Linked DNA regions of Drosophila melanogaster. The protein of the gene in region 1 interacts with the protein of each later gene in a pairwise test. Each region holds a gene or a part of one and is shown on either strand. Other genes may lie near its edges.

Evidence for each region. Proteins that work in one complex are often made in the same cells at the same time.
Region 2: the proteins of CG15143 (region 1) and CG43330 interact in a two-hybrid assay, tested with the Drosophila melanogaster proteins (one large-scale study listed by BioGRID).

Annotation. Positions count from the first base shown.
Region 1 is NT_033779.5:17,520,392-17,530,996, reverse strand, and holds CG15143 (uncharacterized protein), read left to right. Parts: upstream 1-6,447; 5' UTR 6,448-6,475; coding exon 6,476-6,668; intron 6,669-6,752; coding exon 6,753-6,990; intron 6,991-7,051; coding exon 7,052-10,079; 3' UTR 10,080-10,105; downstream 10,106-10,605. Other genes in the region: CG15145 (uncharacterized protein), read left to right, coding at 1-1,530; CG15144 (uncharacterized protein), read left to right, coding at 2,002-2,278, 2,331-2,438, 2,505-2,739, 2,798-5,294; Dhc36C (dynein heavy chain at 36C), read right to left, coding at 5,543-6,049, 6,115-6,266, 10,383-10,605.
Region 2 is NT_037436.4:22,501,178-22,508,492, reverse strand, and holds CG43330 (uncharacterized protein), read left to right. Parts: upstream 1-4,069; coding exon 4,070-4,582; 3' UTR 4,583-4,624; downstream 4,625-7,315. Other genes in the region: CG43329 (uncharacterized protein), read left to right, coding at 3,315-3,899; CG43331 (uncharacterized protein), read left to right, coding at 4,738-5,499; CG43312 (uncharacterized protein), read right to left, coding at 6,243-6,878.

The DNA of each region.
Region 1 (10,605 bases):
GAGCTTGAAAAGCAAATTAATATGCAAATAATTGAGTGTCCATTCGCCAAATTGAAGCAATGGTCGCAGCCCAAGCAACGGATCGCTGAAATAGAGAATCGTTTCTGCAATGAGGAGCATCTGGATGAGCTCTACCATTTGCTGAGGACACTAAGAGTCACCGATGGAGGGCAGCAGCCCAAGCCCGATTGTCTTAAATTACTATTTAAACATACACCAAACCTACGGTCCAGGATGTCACTGGTACAACCTAAAAGCTATACCAATCTCTATGAGAGAAATGCGTACACCGCACGATCAACGTCAAGACCCACACAACAGAAAGCTGTTCAAGAACAGAAAAATCAGCTAAGTTCCGAGTACGCCCAAAAACTTGCCAGGGATGTGCAGAAAAACGACCTGAAAAGCATGATTTTGGCCTACGAAGGCAGTATGATTGGTTACATGATGCAGTTCCTCACCGACGAAATGAATCGCCTGAAGGAGCAACGCCGTCTGCACTTCTTCTCCCTATTGGCGAGTAAAAAACGCTGGCAACTTGAAGCAGCCGAGGCGGGCCTGAGGCAGAAGGAGAACAGCATTAGGCTGCTCTACGAGGAGATGTTCCAGTATACAAATGCGGTTAGCACCGATGTCAGTGATCAGTATGTGCACAGCATTCTGACCGACGATCTGGGTTATATGGCTGCCAACGAGGCGGCGGAAGCGGTCACGGAAATGGCCAAGCAAATTGATATGGACATCGAACGATGGCTCGAGAGTTTCAAGCTGATACAAAATCCCCTCAACTATATTCCACTTCGATTGATGCTGCACGACATGGTCTGTCCGGATCTGAATGCTGCTCTGCAGCGTTATGAGGCTACCATGATTGTGCAGTACATAGTGGAAGATGTGGTCTTTGATGGAATTTGGAAGGCACTCGAACCCTTTGATATATCCAGCACACTGACTAGCGATCTTATCGATCGACTCATCGACAACGATCTGTATTTGTTCTCATCGGATAGTGAAAGCGAAACGCCACAGAAAACTGGCTGGTACGAAGCTCATGCCATAATTCGAAAACTTATTCGACAATCGGTGCCTGGCAGACGTTGGAAGGAAGAAGCCGAACGAATAGTTTATGAAAACTATATTGATCTGCTGGACAGTGTATTTGATGAAATTTTGCAAAAATTTGAAGCGCCATCAAGAATTGAGCCAGTTGTGGTGCATCGAGCATATTCGCATGAAAACCTTACCAGCAGCGCCAATTTTCGATTGGAAAAAGGTGTTTGGCAACAACTACCACAAACTGAATCTGATTTCAGTTACGATCCCAGTACGAAGATAATTAAAAGACAATTGTTAAGCCTTGAAAGAAAAAATAGTAGTAGCACAGTTAAGGGTTTCTTCTCAGATGAAATCTACAAAGGAAGTCCACAAAATTCTTTGGCATCGAAGTTTATTGGAACAGATTCCGACGCCGAAGACGATCCTTGGCCATGGTTACCAGATTGTAAGAGTCAAAGTTCATCCCAGGAATAACTAATGGATATCATGAAAATATTCAGAATTTTACAGAAGAAAAACAAAGGAAAATAAGGAACTTTAGCTTATAATAAGATAGGCTCATATTTTTTTGTAATTTGTCTTACAACCATCTACGTTATGTATATTTTTAATAAATATCGGGCCATATGTACATCTTATAGATTGCGATTTGATTTGATTTCCGATTTTACAACTAGTTCTTATGAGCCGCCTATCGATTGGCCAACAAACAAAGTGGCTCCCTAGCAGCAAATTGGTTGCCTGGCGAATAATATTTGCTCCAGATTGACCGACTTACCGACAATCCAATAGGGCTCGGGCATAAGGACAAGCTGGTTAGTTTAACATAGTAAGCTACTTATATAACTAAAAAACTAAGCACTCTTCTAACAAAAACCCTAGGCACACAAAAAAAAAAATACAAAAAGATATTAAAGAGATATTCAAACACAACATAAGGTAAAAATGCCCTCGGCAAAGGAAAAACGATTGCGCAGGGAAAGAATACTACAGTTCATACGCGAAAATAGGGAGCTCATGCCCATTAGTTCGACGACAGTACTAAAGCCACCTACGGTTAAAAAAGAGGACACTTTAAAGCAAAAAAAACGTGTCACATTTACCCATGGCAAACAGAGGAGTATTGGGGAGTCGACCAGAAACAAGGATAACGAGCAGAATATTGGTCAGGGCCTAACGTCCTGTTTGATCACCAGGTCCTCGGATACCCGATTAGCCAGCGGTGGGTACACCCGGATATAAAGTGGTCGTTTATTAGACATCCGTTTTTCCAGGAGCCAACAACCCAACAGAGATTACGGCGGAAAAACTCCATCGAACCGACAGCAAAAGCCATTTGAAGACGTCATGCACAAAATGCCAAGACTCTCGATTATCGGCTGGTGGGTTTATCCTGAATAAGATTGCCTTTTTTTTAGTAAAAACGATTATATTTAAAAAATGTCCAGGTACAAATAATCCAGCGGCGCGAGATGTTGGCAAATTACCACGAACCGACAGCGAGTGCAAGTTCAACGAGCCCGGAATCTTTTTTCTGCAGAAACCCCATTCGGATTTTACCACTCAGGAAGTCAAGCTGAACGCAAAGCCTATAAGAAAGGAGTTGAAGAACAAGTGCGACTTCTTTCCGAAATATGTGGACAATCGACCATTCAAGGATGAGGCGACACAAACCCTCTATAGGTAGCACAAAGAAAGGAAAGATCACTGAACCCATATAATATCAACTTGTCGTATTTAGGGAATCTTCTGCGCAGACTTTGGCCTTTTTACCTGAAATACTGAACAAGGACAAGTCGGAAACTTTTGAGCTTTATACACTGGCCAAATTGCTGCCAGGCGACAAGCCACCGGGATTGCATGAGGTGGAGTTTTTGGAGCGGGCCCGTCGACGATGGAAATTCAGTAAGGCACTGAAGGATAACTTTAAACGACTTCTTTGTGAGGCGAGGGAAGTGTCTATCAAAACGCAGTACAAGGAGATTCTGGAAGCCTTCGAATGGGAGCAGTGGATACAGCGCGAGGAGGACATACAGCAGTGCCAGATGATGCGCCTGGAAATCGTGATCAAGATGTTTGACAAAAGAGAGAAGGAAATGCACAACGCCTCCAAGGCTCGAATTGAAAAGTCCGTACAGCAAATAGAAAAGCGTCGGCAGGATGGTCTGCGCAAGAACGAAATTGAATACCAGCGGGGAATGCGACGCAACAACATTCAGTTGGCTAAAACCGCTCGAAAGTGGGAGAAACAGAGCCCCATGCAGGCACTTGGATCACCGTGCTCCGAGTTCTACGGCCCACTGATAAGGTATGGTGTTGATCCAGCCCGAAGATGCTTTGAATCCAACACTGGACGCAAAGCATTCGACATGAGGATCGATGAACTGGAAAAGCGGGTGAACATGCGCAATGTGCAGTGCCCCTTCAGCAAGCTGAAGGAGTGGTCCAAGCCCAAGGAGTACGATAGAGAGTATGAACGCAACTTCTGCAATGATGGCAATCTCCAAAGGCTGTACGAGTCCTTGAAGACATTGAGAACGCAGGCCGACATGGCAAAGGAGCCACCGCAGTGCCTGAAGACACGATTGCGAATTGAGCATCGCACATCTAGTTCCAGTTCCACCGATTCATATCGCAACTACAATTGGCAAGCTCGCAAATCACGCTTTGTGGAACTTTCCGAGGGATTACGTAGCACCAAGACAACAATCAAAAAAATGGCCCCACAAAGAGCTGAGAAGTTAGTTAGGGGCTCTGTCATTAGGCGCGAATATTTGGAGACACTGATATGCTCATACGAAGGCAGTTATGTTGGCACAATGATGCAGTTCCTGGCAGATGAAATGCAACGATTGAAGGAGCAGCGCAAGCTGCACTTCTTTTGCATCCTGGCACAAAAGGAGCGCTGGCGCCGTGAAGCAGCGGAAGCGGGATTGAGGCAGAAGGAGAACTGCATGAGAATGCTCTACGAGGAGATGTTTCAGTTTACAAATTCAGTGCACAGTGAGATTGCTGAGAAATATGCCGACACCATATTGACCACCGATGTGGGCAACATGGTGGAGGAGGAGACAGCCGAAACTATTACCGAGCTGGCTAAGCAAATCGATGCGGACATAGAGAGGTGGCTGGAGTCCTTCAAACTGATCCAGAATCCACTCAATTTCACCCCACTTCGTCTCATGCTGCAGGACATGGTCTCACCGGATATGGGCGCTACGCTACGGCGCTACGAGACATCCCTGATTGTCCAGTACATTGTAGAGGACGTGATCTTCTACAATTTGTGGCAGGAACTCGAGCCATTCGATATTGCCAGCACTTTGACCAGTGATCTGATCGATCGCCTTATTGACAACGATCTGTTTTTGTTCTCATCGGACAGCGAAAGCGATTCTGGACATGGAGCCTCCTGGACAGAGTCCCATGCCATCATACGAAAGCTCATTCGCCAAGCTGTTCCGGGTAGACGCTGGAAGGAGGAAAACGAGAGGATTGTCACCGAAACCTTTAGCAGCCTGTTTGACGATGTGTTTGCCCAGATCCTATTTGGCATCGAAAATCCGGAACCAGTTCGGGGCACCGAACTTTTGCACCTTTGTGCAAGTAAATCGTATGCCTTCCTCCCTCACGAGATTCCAAGTAGAGTTCCTTTGGAAAAGTTGGAGTCGTCCCAATCGGAGTCATTGGAGAATGCTAATATTCTACGAATGCAATTCCTATCGCTCATTAAAAAAATTAAAGAAGATAAGATAACCAAAAAGTTGGAGAGAACTGGGGAGAAAGTGAAGATGTCTGCAAATGAATACGAATTATTTGACGACTATATCAAAAACGAAGTGCTCCAAAATGCGGAACTCCTTAACAGTGTGTCTCCGGTGCCAGAGCCTGAATTATGTTCCATCATAAGTACTGTTGATATTACCGAGTACGACAATAATCTAAAAGATCTGCGAGGTTCCTCGATTATTCAGCGTTCGCCTTCAGCCGAAGAGGAGGCCTTTGAAAGTAAAGACGAAGAAGTTAGATCGGACAATTTCAATGAATTCATCAACGTAGACCAGGAAAAAGTTGAAGATGCAGAACCAGAACAAGAGAATGTATCTGAAAATTCGGGAAGGGAATCTGACGACTTAGAATCCATAATTGGCGAAGAATTTGAGGAAGAGCATACCGATATGGCCGAAGAGGTCGTGGTTTACTCCACCAAAGAATCGCAGGTCTTTAAATTCAGATAAATTTTCAAATTCCATCTTTCAATTTCCTGGGCAACGGAGCTTTTCGTTACTTTCATACGCATACATAAAAAAAAATTATTATTGAAAATAATACCAAATAATAATAGTGGTAAAATATATTTATTTAGCTCGCATGTTTTTGGGGAAGTGATTTTCAAGTGACACCTCTTCAAAATATTTCTTACTTAATGAGCCTCAAGCAGACCTTAAAAAATATATTTAGTTCAATCGAAAGTAATGTACAATCCCTAGAAACTCAGCTGGCACAACAAAGCCGTGCCGCGAATAATCCAATGTGAGACTGGAGTATTCGGATTGCAGAGTAGCAACATGGCCACCACAAAGTTGGTACTATGACCAGTGGTGGACAATACTCCTCGACGTTCGGCAGTCTTGTACATGGGACACAGATAGTTATGACGCTCCGGCAGATCGACGCGCTTGAGCGGTTTTAGCCAAATCAATGGCATCGTATCAAACAGTTCCCTTGGCCGGGACTCGGCTAGATACTTTCCAGTGCGATCCCATCGTGCACCCTCTAGGAAAATGCCATACACAAAGACGCCATCCTCGGGTCCCGATAATCCCTGCCTTTGCGGCTCTTCCACCGTGAGAACTTCGTAATCGAAGGCCAGAAGATCTATGGATATGACATACTTTCGCGCATAGTTCTGCTGGGCACCGGTTAAAAAGGCCTGAGTGAAAAAAAATCCAGATAGCCAAAAGGTGGAAGGAGCTCCATGATCAAACCAGTGCTACAATAAAAGTTAAAAACATGTTTTTTTATTTTGTATTGCTGCGTACTTTCCATATCACTTACCTGCAAAAACTCAAGGCGGCGCAAAAAATCGGTCACATAACTGCCCAATGGCTTTAGACTTGGGTACGATTTTCCAGCCCACATTGCAGGTATTTTGGCTATTAGGACGGACTTGTAAACGGCCTCAACAGCAGGAGACATTACAACCAAACCTGTTGGTGAAAAGTTAATTTTTTAATAATACACAAGTATTTAATAAACAATCATACTAATACTTAATATGAATAAGTTAACTTAGTAGCCCACTGAAATTAGAATTCAAAATTAATTAAATATGAAACCCATTTGCTGACACAATACTCATCAAAACCCACATAAAAACTACACTTATACAAAATATAAAAATATAAAAAAAAACACAATGTCCAAACACAATACACGACTCGATAGGCATGTTAAGTTTAGGATTCTTCAGGAGGACAGGTTACAATCACCGAGACAAAAAGAGGATAATATCAAACGGAAAAAGAGCACTTCCAAATCTGAAAATCTTACTGAACGTGGCCTATCATCTTGTCTGATCAACAGCTCGGTAGATCTGCGGATCACAGGAGGTATTTAATGTTAAGAAATTGAAATTGGATTGAAAAGGTATAACACAAGTATTACTTTCAATAATTTGATGATCCTTTTTCTAGGTGAGAATGACCCAGCACAGCGCAATGTTGGAAAATTGCCTCGCACCGACAGCGAGTGTCAGTTCAAAGCTCCGGGATACCGATTTCTTACCGAACAAGATACTACAGTGAACACCCATGAGGTCAAGATGAGCCCCAGGGTAGTGACGAAAAAGGATTTAAGGCACAAATGTGATTTCTTTGCTAAGAACAAGGACGCACGACCGTTTAAGAATAAGATCACGCAGACGCTTTACAGGTAAACTCCAAGTGAACTAAATACTAATTTATAATTTAATATAACTATACGTATTTGTTAGAGAATCCTCTGCGCAGACAATGGCTTATTTGCCGGAGATTTTTGAAGCAAACAGCGTTGAAACCTTGGAACTGTTTTCCCTGCCATCTATATTCCCAGTAGCAAATCGACCGGGACTCCATGAAGTTGAGATTCTGGAACGCGCCAGGAAACGATGGGCCTTTAGTGATGCCCTAAAGATTCACTTCAAAAACCTACTTCAAGACGCCAGGAAAGTGGCGATAAAAACAGAGCTCAAGGAGATTTTGGAGGCCATTGAATGGGAGCAGTGGATACAGCGTGAGGAGGACATTCAAGAGTGCCAGATGATGCGTCTCCAGATCGTGATTAAAATGTTTGATAAGCGGGAGAAGGAGATGCACACCGCTTCAAAGACTCGAATCGAAACAGCCTGCGAGCGAATCGAGAAGCGACGTCAGGCGGGTTTGCGAAAAAACGAGATCGAGTTCCAACGGGGAATGCGCCGAATGGAGTTCCAACTTACGAAGAATCCGCGAAGGTGGGAGAAGCAAAGTCCCATGTACGCGTTGGGATCACCCAGCTCGGAGTTCTACGCTCCGCTTTTAAGATACGGCGTGGATCCGGCGCGTCGCAACTTTGTGTCCAAAACAGCACAAAAAGCCTTCGATATGAGAATCGATGACTTAGAGAAGCGAATCAACAATACCGACTTCAAATGTCCGTTTAGAAAGCTTAAGGATTGGTCCAAGCCCAAAAAGTATGACAAGGAATATGAGCGGAACTTCTGCAAGGAAGACAATCTACAAAAGCTCTTCGAATCTCTGAAAGGCCTAAGAACACAGGCCAATGCGGAGAGAGAAGAACCAAAATGTCTAGTACGGCGAAGAAAACCCGAATTGGGTAGAGCGGCATCCCAAATAACCCTGGCCTATCTAACTGACTTGTACGAAAGGAGCGATTCTGATGAGGAATATCGTAAATCGCGAGCTTACGGATCCTTTTCACCACACGCAAAGCCGGGGACGAACAAAGTCTCAGAGACCACACTATCGCATTTGAAGAACGACAGGAAGCGCGAAGAAATGGAGCACATGTTGAACATTTATGAGGGCACCTACGTGGGTTGGGTGATGCAGTTCCTCTCGGAGGAGATGACCCGACTTTCGGAGCTGCGAAGGCTTCACTTCTTCTCGATTATGGCCCAAAAGGAACGCTGGAGACGCGAGGCCGCCGAAGCCGGTCTGCGACAGAAGGAGAACGAATTGAGATTGTTGTACGAGGAGCTTTTCCAACATTGCAATGTGGTCAACAATGAGATCTCCAATAAGTATTTTGCCAACATTCTGAGCTCTGATATGTACGGCATGGCCGATGGCCTTGCTGGCGAGACAGTGAGTGAATTGGCCAAAAAGATCGATGCGGATATATTGCGATGGCTAGAGAGCTTTAAGTTGATCCAAAACCCCCTTACCTATGTGCCACTACGAATAATGTTGAATGACATGATTTCACCGAATATGAACAATATTCTGCAGCGCTACGAGAATTCCCTGATCGCCCAGTACGTATTGGAGGATGTGATTTTCCCAAAGGTGTGGAATGAACTAGATCCGTTTGATATAGGATGTACTTTAACGAGTGATCTCATAGATCGCCTAATCGACAACGATTTGTATCTGATGTCCACTGACAGCGAAAGTGAAACCCCACAAAAAACTTCCTGGCGCGAAGCTCATGCCATCATAAGAAAGATCATACGACAGGCAGTTCCTGGCGATCGTTGGCTTCAAGAAAATGAGCGTATTGTTAACGAAAACTATAATGATCTATTTGACGACGTGTTCGCAGGCATATTTGACAAGTCTGAAAATCCTCCAGCCGTGAGGCCATCACAACTAATCGAGCTCTGCCCTACTGTCTCTCATAATTACATTCATCACATGGACAATATACGCGAGATGGAAAACTTTCATACCGAAAATGCTACCTCACAGCCAGGATCAGAATTTGAAAAAAAACAGTTGTTAAACATATTAAGAAAACGCAAAGAAGACAATATTACAAGAAATTTACAAAACTTTGATAATCCCCTGGCGGGTGAAATACCATCTGACAGCGACATATTTCTAAGATCTCAAATATTCAATCCAATGCCACTTCCAACGACGACACCAAGTGATTTGTTCAGTCTTAGAAGCACTCTCGATGTTTCGCATGCCTCAAAATTGGGATCATTTGTCGGCAGGGGCTATAGAGTAATGCTTCCCAGTGAGGAAGAAAAAAATTCTAACGTTGATGTATCAAAACTTCCGATAGATAATGACGAGGAAGAAAAATTTGAATTGCCAGCTTCAGAGTTTTCTGAAATTACAGGGACTGATATAGACTCGCCGAAGGTATCATTTCATAAAATTCTGTCGACAATGGAATTGAGGACGAGGATTTCATCAGCATCTGAATCGCACGATAAGCAACCAGAAGAAGAGAATTTAAAACCACTGGATTCATCTCCATTAAAATTAGAAAGCTTAACCACCCCATCTCCTGGTGAAGCGAAAACTAGAGACTCCCCTTCAGTTGAATTAAAGCCGGTTACTGAATTAGTTTCTGAGAATGTAATACCCACCACTTCCTTGGGTACTAGTAGTATAATAACCAACGATACAAACACAACAACAAACGATTTAGACCAAGAAAAGGAAACGTCTAGGGAAATGCGCTCGGTAGTCGAGTTCAATCTTGAGCCTCTAAACAGACCGGAAGCCGAACTCGGACTGGATGCCGAACTCGGACCGGATCTCGAAGACGAACCGGGATCCGAACTTTTGCTCTGGCCAGAACGGGAGTCCTTTATCCCACCCGTACGTTCGTCGGGGGTCAGAAATTCAACAGTCGAACCGATTAAATCTGAGAAAGGATCGCATTCTTCTAAAAGGCCTAGAAATAAATCCATAACCGATCAATATGAAGTTGAGGAAAGATATATTGGCTCCGTGAGCAAGAACCATATCCAAATTAAGGACAAAACCGCTGAGAACATAGATAATATTGTACCAGAATCTGAATAAAAACTAAAAATGTGTGCTGAAAAGAGAATCTTAGAAGTGAACAATCTGTCATAAACAAATTGCCAAAATAAATGTATATTTTGATTTATTTCGGTGTAATTGTATAATGATTTATCTGAAATGTATTAGTAGGAACGATAGGGGTACTTTATAAAGTTTTGATGAAAATAAAAACAAAAAGTAGTCGAGTTCTTCGACTATCAGATACCCATTATATAGCTAGTTGAAATTTTTGTTTGGCATATCGATAGAAAAATCATTACGATATCTGCAAGGGTATCATAAATAAAATGGCTTACTCACCCTTGATTCCCTTTCGCAGCGTGATAAGGCTAGTTCGGATCGTGTTCAGCAGGACATTAAAGCGCACCATCTCCTGAACGAGCACCGTGTTCATGCTTTGGTGGTAGAGAGTGGGATACTTTAGCAGGGCCGCATCGCGGTCGAATAGCTTTGGCAACTTGTCCAGAATATCGGTTGCCACATTTGTGACAACCTCTTCGGGAGTTAGTGCCTTGGAACCACC
Region 2 (7,315 bases), on another chromosome or scaffold:
CTCAGCTGACTTTTGTTGACTCCATCGTTTTGGCAGCACGTGAGGTCGCTTGCGCTCCTTTTACACCTTTTCAAGGTCCTGCTTGGCAGTCCGCAGTGGGAGCAGCATCATTTCTAGTAGACTTATCGAACGGTGAAGTATGCTTACATTGTTTAGCAAGCACTCGTTACATCCAAAATTTTTTCATACAAAAATTTAAAACAAGAGAGATCGCTATATTCGGGTATCGATACTCGGTACTTATAGGGAACAAGAAAATGCATGACTTTTTAATCAATATCAATAGAAATTAAAACAATAGCTATAACTCACACACAGCGTTGGCATCGCAAAGTCTGCATGTCTCAACTTTCAAGCATTTATAGTTTTCGAGATCTCGTCGTTCGGACAGACTGACAGATCGCCTCCGCTATCTATCCTTATTAATAATATTTATATATACATTATAGGGTAAGAAACGCTTCCTTCTACCTATTACATACTTTTCATCAAATCTAGTATACCATTTTACACCATTTACTCCCAATTTTTCCAAATTCTGCGGTTTTAGGCAGAAAAATGGTAAAAACTTTTACACATGTTTCATGGAAGGCACTATACCCTTGAATGTACGTGTAACATTTATAATAGTTAATGGAAACTCGTTTTGATATTGTAATTACTAATGCATCTGGACCCGCATTGCTCATACTATTTGAATATCTCTTACCTCTCGCCATATCAAACTAAAAGCCACAATCAGGCTGGGAGCCAAATCAAATAACCTAATGTATACTATCTGGAGGCCTCGGTAAGCACTTAAGTGCTACACAAAGCGGAGCCAATCGCGATGTCCAGGGAGTAGGCCTAAAATGACTAACAGTGGGCTACACTGCACAGGGATATTTCAATATTGGGGAATAAATGGACAAAAATATAAAAACATTTTTTCAAAGTGTGGGCGTGACACGCTTAAGTGGTTTGTGGGCATTTAAGTGGGAGTTGAAAAATAATACCAAAACATTTTCAAAAATTTGGGCTGGGCCAAATCGACTCGGTTAATGGCCGAAAACGCTTACCTCTGCCGGTTGCATAGTTTTTAACGATTCTAGTAACGATTCTCAACGAGTAACGGGTATAAGACATATAAACTTGTTTAAGAGGCACATACAAAATTTCTTATTAGAAAACCAGATTATACGTAGTCTGACCTACAATTTGGCCCACTGTACTTCTAGGCGATGTTAATACAATTAAAAATACCCAATTTCGCCTCAGCTCGTCAGGTCCCCAACGTTACTGACGGATATCCAAGGGCCTTTGTTTCTGTTGTTGCTGGTGTGTTTGCTGGTGGTAGGCAGCTGTGTCAGGATGTGGCATCTTGCCACCGATGCCGTGATGCCATTAGTCGTAAGTGGCGCTTTCCGTTTGATTTTGGTGGCATTTGACTTTATTAACCAAAACTACTCGGCGGCTCCTTGGCCTAGGTGGCTGGGTGTGTTTGGGTGTGGGGGCCTGTCTGACCTGGCAGCATCGAAATGGGTCAATATGTGTGCGCTCCACTTGGGCGACTCATGTAATATGTATTCTGGCGGCCGCAGTCGAGTGACATCCTTAGAGATTTTACCGAAATGAGTGAAGGAGAGGTCTTTGTCCGTATTTTGGGATGTTTGCACTCGAATAATGCACGCGACGAACGTTGTTTTTGGACTCACCGTTTGATTCTGGGCATGACAGGACGGAAGATTGCGACTGTACCTGCTCAATCATTTAGTTGGGCTTAGTTTATTTATTTCACTAATGGAATTGTTTCCCGCTCCACTTATCCTCGTCAACTTCAGGGTTTCTACTGCAGGTCGTCATATTTCCGTATTTCGATTCATTACTAATTCTCTTGGTTATCTACCGATAAATTTGACCGAGAAATCCGCAACTGCTGATTGTCCCATTAGCACAAAACAGTTCCGGGCATCATTTTTGAATCTTTTTTGCATTGACAATGTGTCAGCGACAGCACAACTGAATAAGGAAAGCCACAGATGTCACCACGAACGAAGTGCCGAAGGCATCGTCAGCTGTGAATCATATGATATGTATTAATATTACAATGAAGAATGGATAATGCAAAGGTTTTGGGCCTTGCAAGGACATCTGTGCGCGATGGAAGGAAGGAATTGTAATTTCAACGTTGGATATGTGTGCCAGAAGGGTTCGCCTTAAGATTGTCATTCACTGGCAGTTTTGGCATTTTCCCGACTTCATTCAATGCTTTTCTTTGCCCTTTATATCAGCCACACAATACACCTGCGCTACACCCTGAGCTGTCGCTCAGATTCTCAGGCAGACCAAATACACACCCCCATTGTGTAATATCTATGTAATTCAATAAAGGCAGGCAAAGGAAGGAAATGCAGGGAAGTCCAGTTCCGGGCCGAGAACTCCCAGGAAACGTAGTTAAAGCCCAGAAATTGTCTAGTAAATTCGTTCCAGTCTCTTCAACTCTGTTCCTTCACATTGCTGCAGCCCGCCCTTTCAACGAACTTTAGCTTGCGTGTAAATCAATTTGACGCATTTTTTCTCCTCCGACTTGTCTGAAACCTAGTAGCTGCACTGAGATCGAGGAAGAGATGGAATGACCGGATCAAAACAATGAGTTCTATAAATAGAGAAGATTTCTGGGCTTGGCATTCACAATCCACAAATGGTTTTAAAATCCAGTATTCGTTAGGGAAAACTGATTCAACCCATTAATGTAATGCACAAATTCCGAATGTTTCATATATTGGTTGTTTTGTTTTTTAAAATAATGCATTTAATGAAATTTGAAAAGAGTACCAATAGCATAGCCTTTGCTTGGAATCGAATAGTGCATAAATAGACTGGATCACCAAAGATATTGTTTAATTAATTTGATTGAATTCAAAAAACTTTTTATCTTTGGCTGCAAAAGTTAGTTGAAACTTTTTGTAAAAGTGGTATGTGTAGTGCACAAGTTCCTTGGCCTGACTACCGCGTAAAAATCGAAATAAAAGTGACCGGATGTAAAAACTTGTTCTTTACTAGGTTATATTTACCCAGTCGTATGTGTTTTTATGAGAACAAATAGTTTTTAGTAACTATAAAATAATTTAAAAGATTTATTAATGTATTATGTAAATTAAATCCTGAATACTAAACATTTAGTAAAACTTAACATAAAAAATAAATATTATAATTCAAAGGGAAATCTTAAAATGGCTTAGAAAAAATCAATCTGGGTCCTTAAAACTGTGAGCCTGTTGTCAGTTGAGTTGAAATTTGGAAACCCGTAATGAGTCATCCTTAAATTTATTGTAATGCGCTTATACTTGACCTTTTTTGGAATATCAATAGTTTTTTTGGCGACCTTGCTTCAAATTCTTGCCATACACAGCACTGGGAATTGCACCTTCGCAAAGAATGTCACTCTAAAGTTCGTGTGCAAGGGAAATGTCCCCAAGGATATGTATACAATGTTTCGGGACAACCGAGCTCCTCCCGACACTCCCTACAGTGTTTGGCAGACCGAAGAGGACGACTCTGCTCTTCTGGTATCGTTTTACACCACGATGTTTCCAAACTATGATACCATCAATCTGCAGGAAGGCGAGATGGATCTTGGCCAATTCTTTCTAGCCACCAAGGGAAGAAATACCAACGATCTTTTGTTTGTGACACCGTCTACCCTCCACTGCTTCCCCTTCGGTCTGCGCTATACGAATGAGCTAAAAAGGCACTGTCTGGGCCAAGACATAAGTGAGGGAGGTGTCCTTACCAAGAAGCCCATTATTCACTACGGCTCGCTTAGCATAAAAACCCCCGACTTGCCGAAGAGTGATGCAACTTCGACAAGTGTGAAAAGAAACCTGCTTCTTGTCGTGTGTGCGGTGATCACTTACTAAAATGAAAGTTTTGTACCCGAAAAATCTAAATTTAATGTAAAAATGATATTGTTCAAAATTGAATGAATAAATTGTTGCGCTAGAAGAAGCGTCGCTTTCCAAATGTCAGCCATGATTTATTAGTCTACATTTCTACATGCCATACCCTATGGACATCAACCTACAAAGCCATGACATGGAAACTGTGGCTGCTCCCGATCGCATTTCTTCTGTCCTCTTCCGAGGCCTCCTTCGACTCCTGCTACTTCATGCTAGAAAACGAAATTCCATTTACGCTGGTTTGTAAGGCCGAATACAGCACCGACCTGAAGCTGAGCTACCGAGACATTTGGCTCAGTGCCGACGTACCCTACTGGCTTTGGTGGAGACGACTGCCCAGTGTGGAGCTGCTGATCTCCTTTTATGAGTCGCCCATATCGCCGTGTGAGAACGTTAGCCTGAGCCTCAACTGCCTTCATTGTGCTGACTCCGATGAGCTAGGCATACACATTCGACCGGAGAGCATCCACTGTTTTGACTTCTCCTTCTCCTACGTGCGGGACCTGATGAAGCACTGTGGACTGTCGCCGGCCACGAAGTTCGATCGCGTCGCCATTTTGTATGCGCGGCGGGTTCCCAATCGTGATATTCCGTCTGGGGCCGCCAGGACTCGGCCTTGGACCCTGGGACTCAGGCTTCTCTAAGAAAGTCGATGCTAAGCGGATGCTAAACGCAGGGCCGGGGGCAACTAGAGAATCTTCTGTCAAGCGGGGGAGAAGTGATCGGAACCGTTTTTATTCTCCTGGAAATTCCCATCAAATTTTTCGAAAATGATCAAAGAATCATTTGCCTATAAGCAATGCCAGTGCGCCTCTCAAGCGCACGAAGCCTGAATAACAAGTGGATCGACCGTTCGTCGCTCCGTCCTCCTCAGCATACAAAGCAACCCAAGCATCCTCGGCACGCCCTGCGCCCGGTCTGCAACCCACCGCCTTCGACTACGACTTTACCGCCGCCCAAGCTCAAACCACATCCGCCGTGCCCGCTGTTCCGGCCAGTGTCCTTCCTGCTGCTCCTGCTCATCCTCGGACCAGTGTCGGCAGCATGCGAGGACCAGAACTGCACCTTCCTCGAGGGCTACATCCTGCAGTACGTGTGTCACAGCAGCTACATAGAGGAGATTCGGCTGCAGCACAAGGACCGCATCCCGGCCATCGGGACCCCGTACGCCATCTGGAAGCGTCCCGACACCCACGACCCGTCCTACCTGCTCATTTCCTTCTACGACTCGCCGCTTTTCTCCTGCTACACAGTGGTTATGCACAACGGCAAGTTTTACTGCGACGGGCGCAACTTCATAGAGCCGAACACGGAGGTCGAGCAGATGCACTGCCTTAACTATCCGTTCCACTACACCTTACACCTGTACAATGCGTGTGCCAAGAAGCCGTGCTCGGAAGGATCGCCACCCATCGCAGTGGCGATCGCCTACATGAAGAGCAATATCAGGAGGACTAGTGAGGCTGTACCTCGCGTTAAACGCCCTGCGGCTGTCCCCCTTCTTGTGCCCATAATTCCCCTTCTCGTATCACGATATTTTGGTATTTTACTATGTCAATAAAATGGTTCCGAATAGTTATATTGTCGCTTAATGCCGGGCAGGGCAACCTCAATCCTTCATCTGCGGCGCTTCTATCCAGCCACCTAATCCGCGTCCACATCAATCCCCTCGTTTGCCCTGTGATTGCATGCATTATCTCGAAGCTGCTTATTTTACTCGGGTAAACAAAATAGGCGGGTCCTCGCCGACTAGCAGTTCAGCAGAGTCCATTGTAGTTGGCCTTAGTTTCTGTAGTGCTGTAGTTGCTGTTGTGGCATGAAATTTTAGACATCCCAACAATGGCAGCCAGATGCAGGCATGGACAGCCGCATACAGAGGCTCAGCTAACTGCCATTTTACGCACACAGCCGGAGATTCGTCGGAAATGGGAGGATGGGGGGGCATCACATTTCATTGTCGTCATTGTCATTGGCGTTGGCGTAATTTATGTGCTTATATGGACTGCCGCCATATTGGTCTGTGGTGCTCAACACTTGCGTGTAGATGTTTGGGAAAGGACTTTAAGCGCATTCATTAAGTTTATAGTTTTAAAGGGCTCTGTGTCGCAAATGAAACAAGCAGAGCAAAGCTCTTTTTAAATTTTATTGGTATAAATTCACTTGGGACAAATTTTGAACAGTGTGCGAAACAGCTCCTTATTCTGGCGTCCTTGGGAGACAGACGATTGCGTGGTCAATGGAGCTGAGGATCCTTCCAATCCCAGCACTTCGGTATTGTTGCATCCGCTCTTGACATTCTCCAGCTTACGAACTATGTAGAGCAGCACGAACATCGAGCACAAGCGCATTTTGCTTCAAGCTGGCAAACTGGTAGTTCACTTGAATTTCAAATATATTGGATGACAGCAGTTTCAATCTTTGAAGAAAGACGCACACCAGGCAGGCCAGCCAGATTTCCAAACCAGGGATTCCCCTAGAAGATCCACTTTTTGACTCTGTTTTGGCAGCGTAATGAATCGTAGCCTCTCCCTTCCACTCAACATTGAAGAAGCGCAGAGCTATTGGCTTGGTGCATTCGTATAACAAGTCATCTACGTAGGTCATTAGTTCCTTGTGGCAGAAAAACTGCGTGCCGGACACTATTAAAGGTGATTTACTGACTCCGCAAAAGAAATCGAGTTCATCGTCCAGCTGGATCGTGGCGTTACAACTTTGCACTGGAGAGTCGTTGAAGCTTACGAGGAAGAAATAATATCCATCCTGGTCATAGTAGAAGATCTTGTAGGGCGCATTTACGGAAGTTAGCCGGTCTTTGTATTTCAAATATAGGTCAGCGTTATAGACTCCGTCGCAAAGAAGCTCGAGATGGGTGTATGTAACCAGGGGGCAGTATAGTTGCATAGAACCATCCGCCACGGTTAAAGATTGTTGGAAAGCCATCACGATAAGCAAAAACAATGAAAATGTTACATCATGCATCATTTTTATTGTCTTTTTCATTTGAAATTTCTTTGAAAGATAACTGTGAATACGTCGACTTAGCGTTTAAATCGTAGCAGTATAGGAGAAATCCGATAAGGAAAAAATTCAGAATGCTTATCCAAACATTCACACTCAAATGCCACTGCACATTAAAACGGCGGCGATGAATATCACATTAAAAGTAAGGGAAAATAAAACGAAGAGCTTTCCTCGGCCGAGTCTCTTATATCATCATTAGTTTCTAACGGCGCCAAACAAAGCCGTTCCTCTCACGCGCATGTCCTGATTTTCACACATGGCTGATAATGCACACAACAAAGCATTCCCAAAACAGGATATAAAAAGGGCACGGTAGGTAGGTGCGCATTTGCGTGTGACTTTTTGTGAATGTCTTT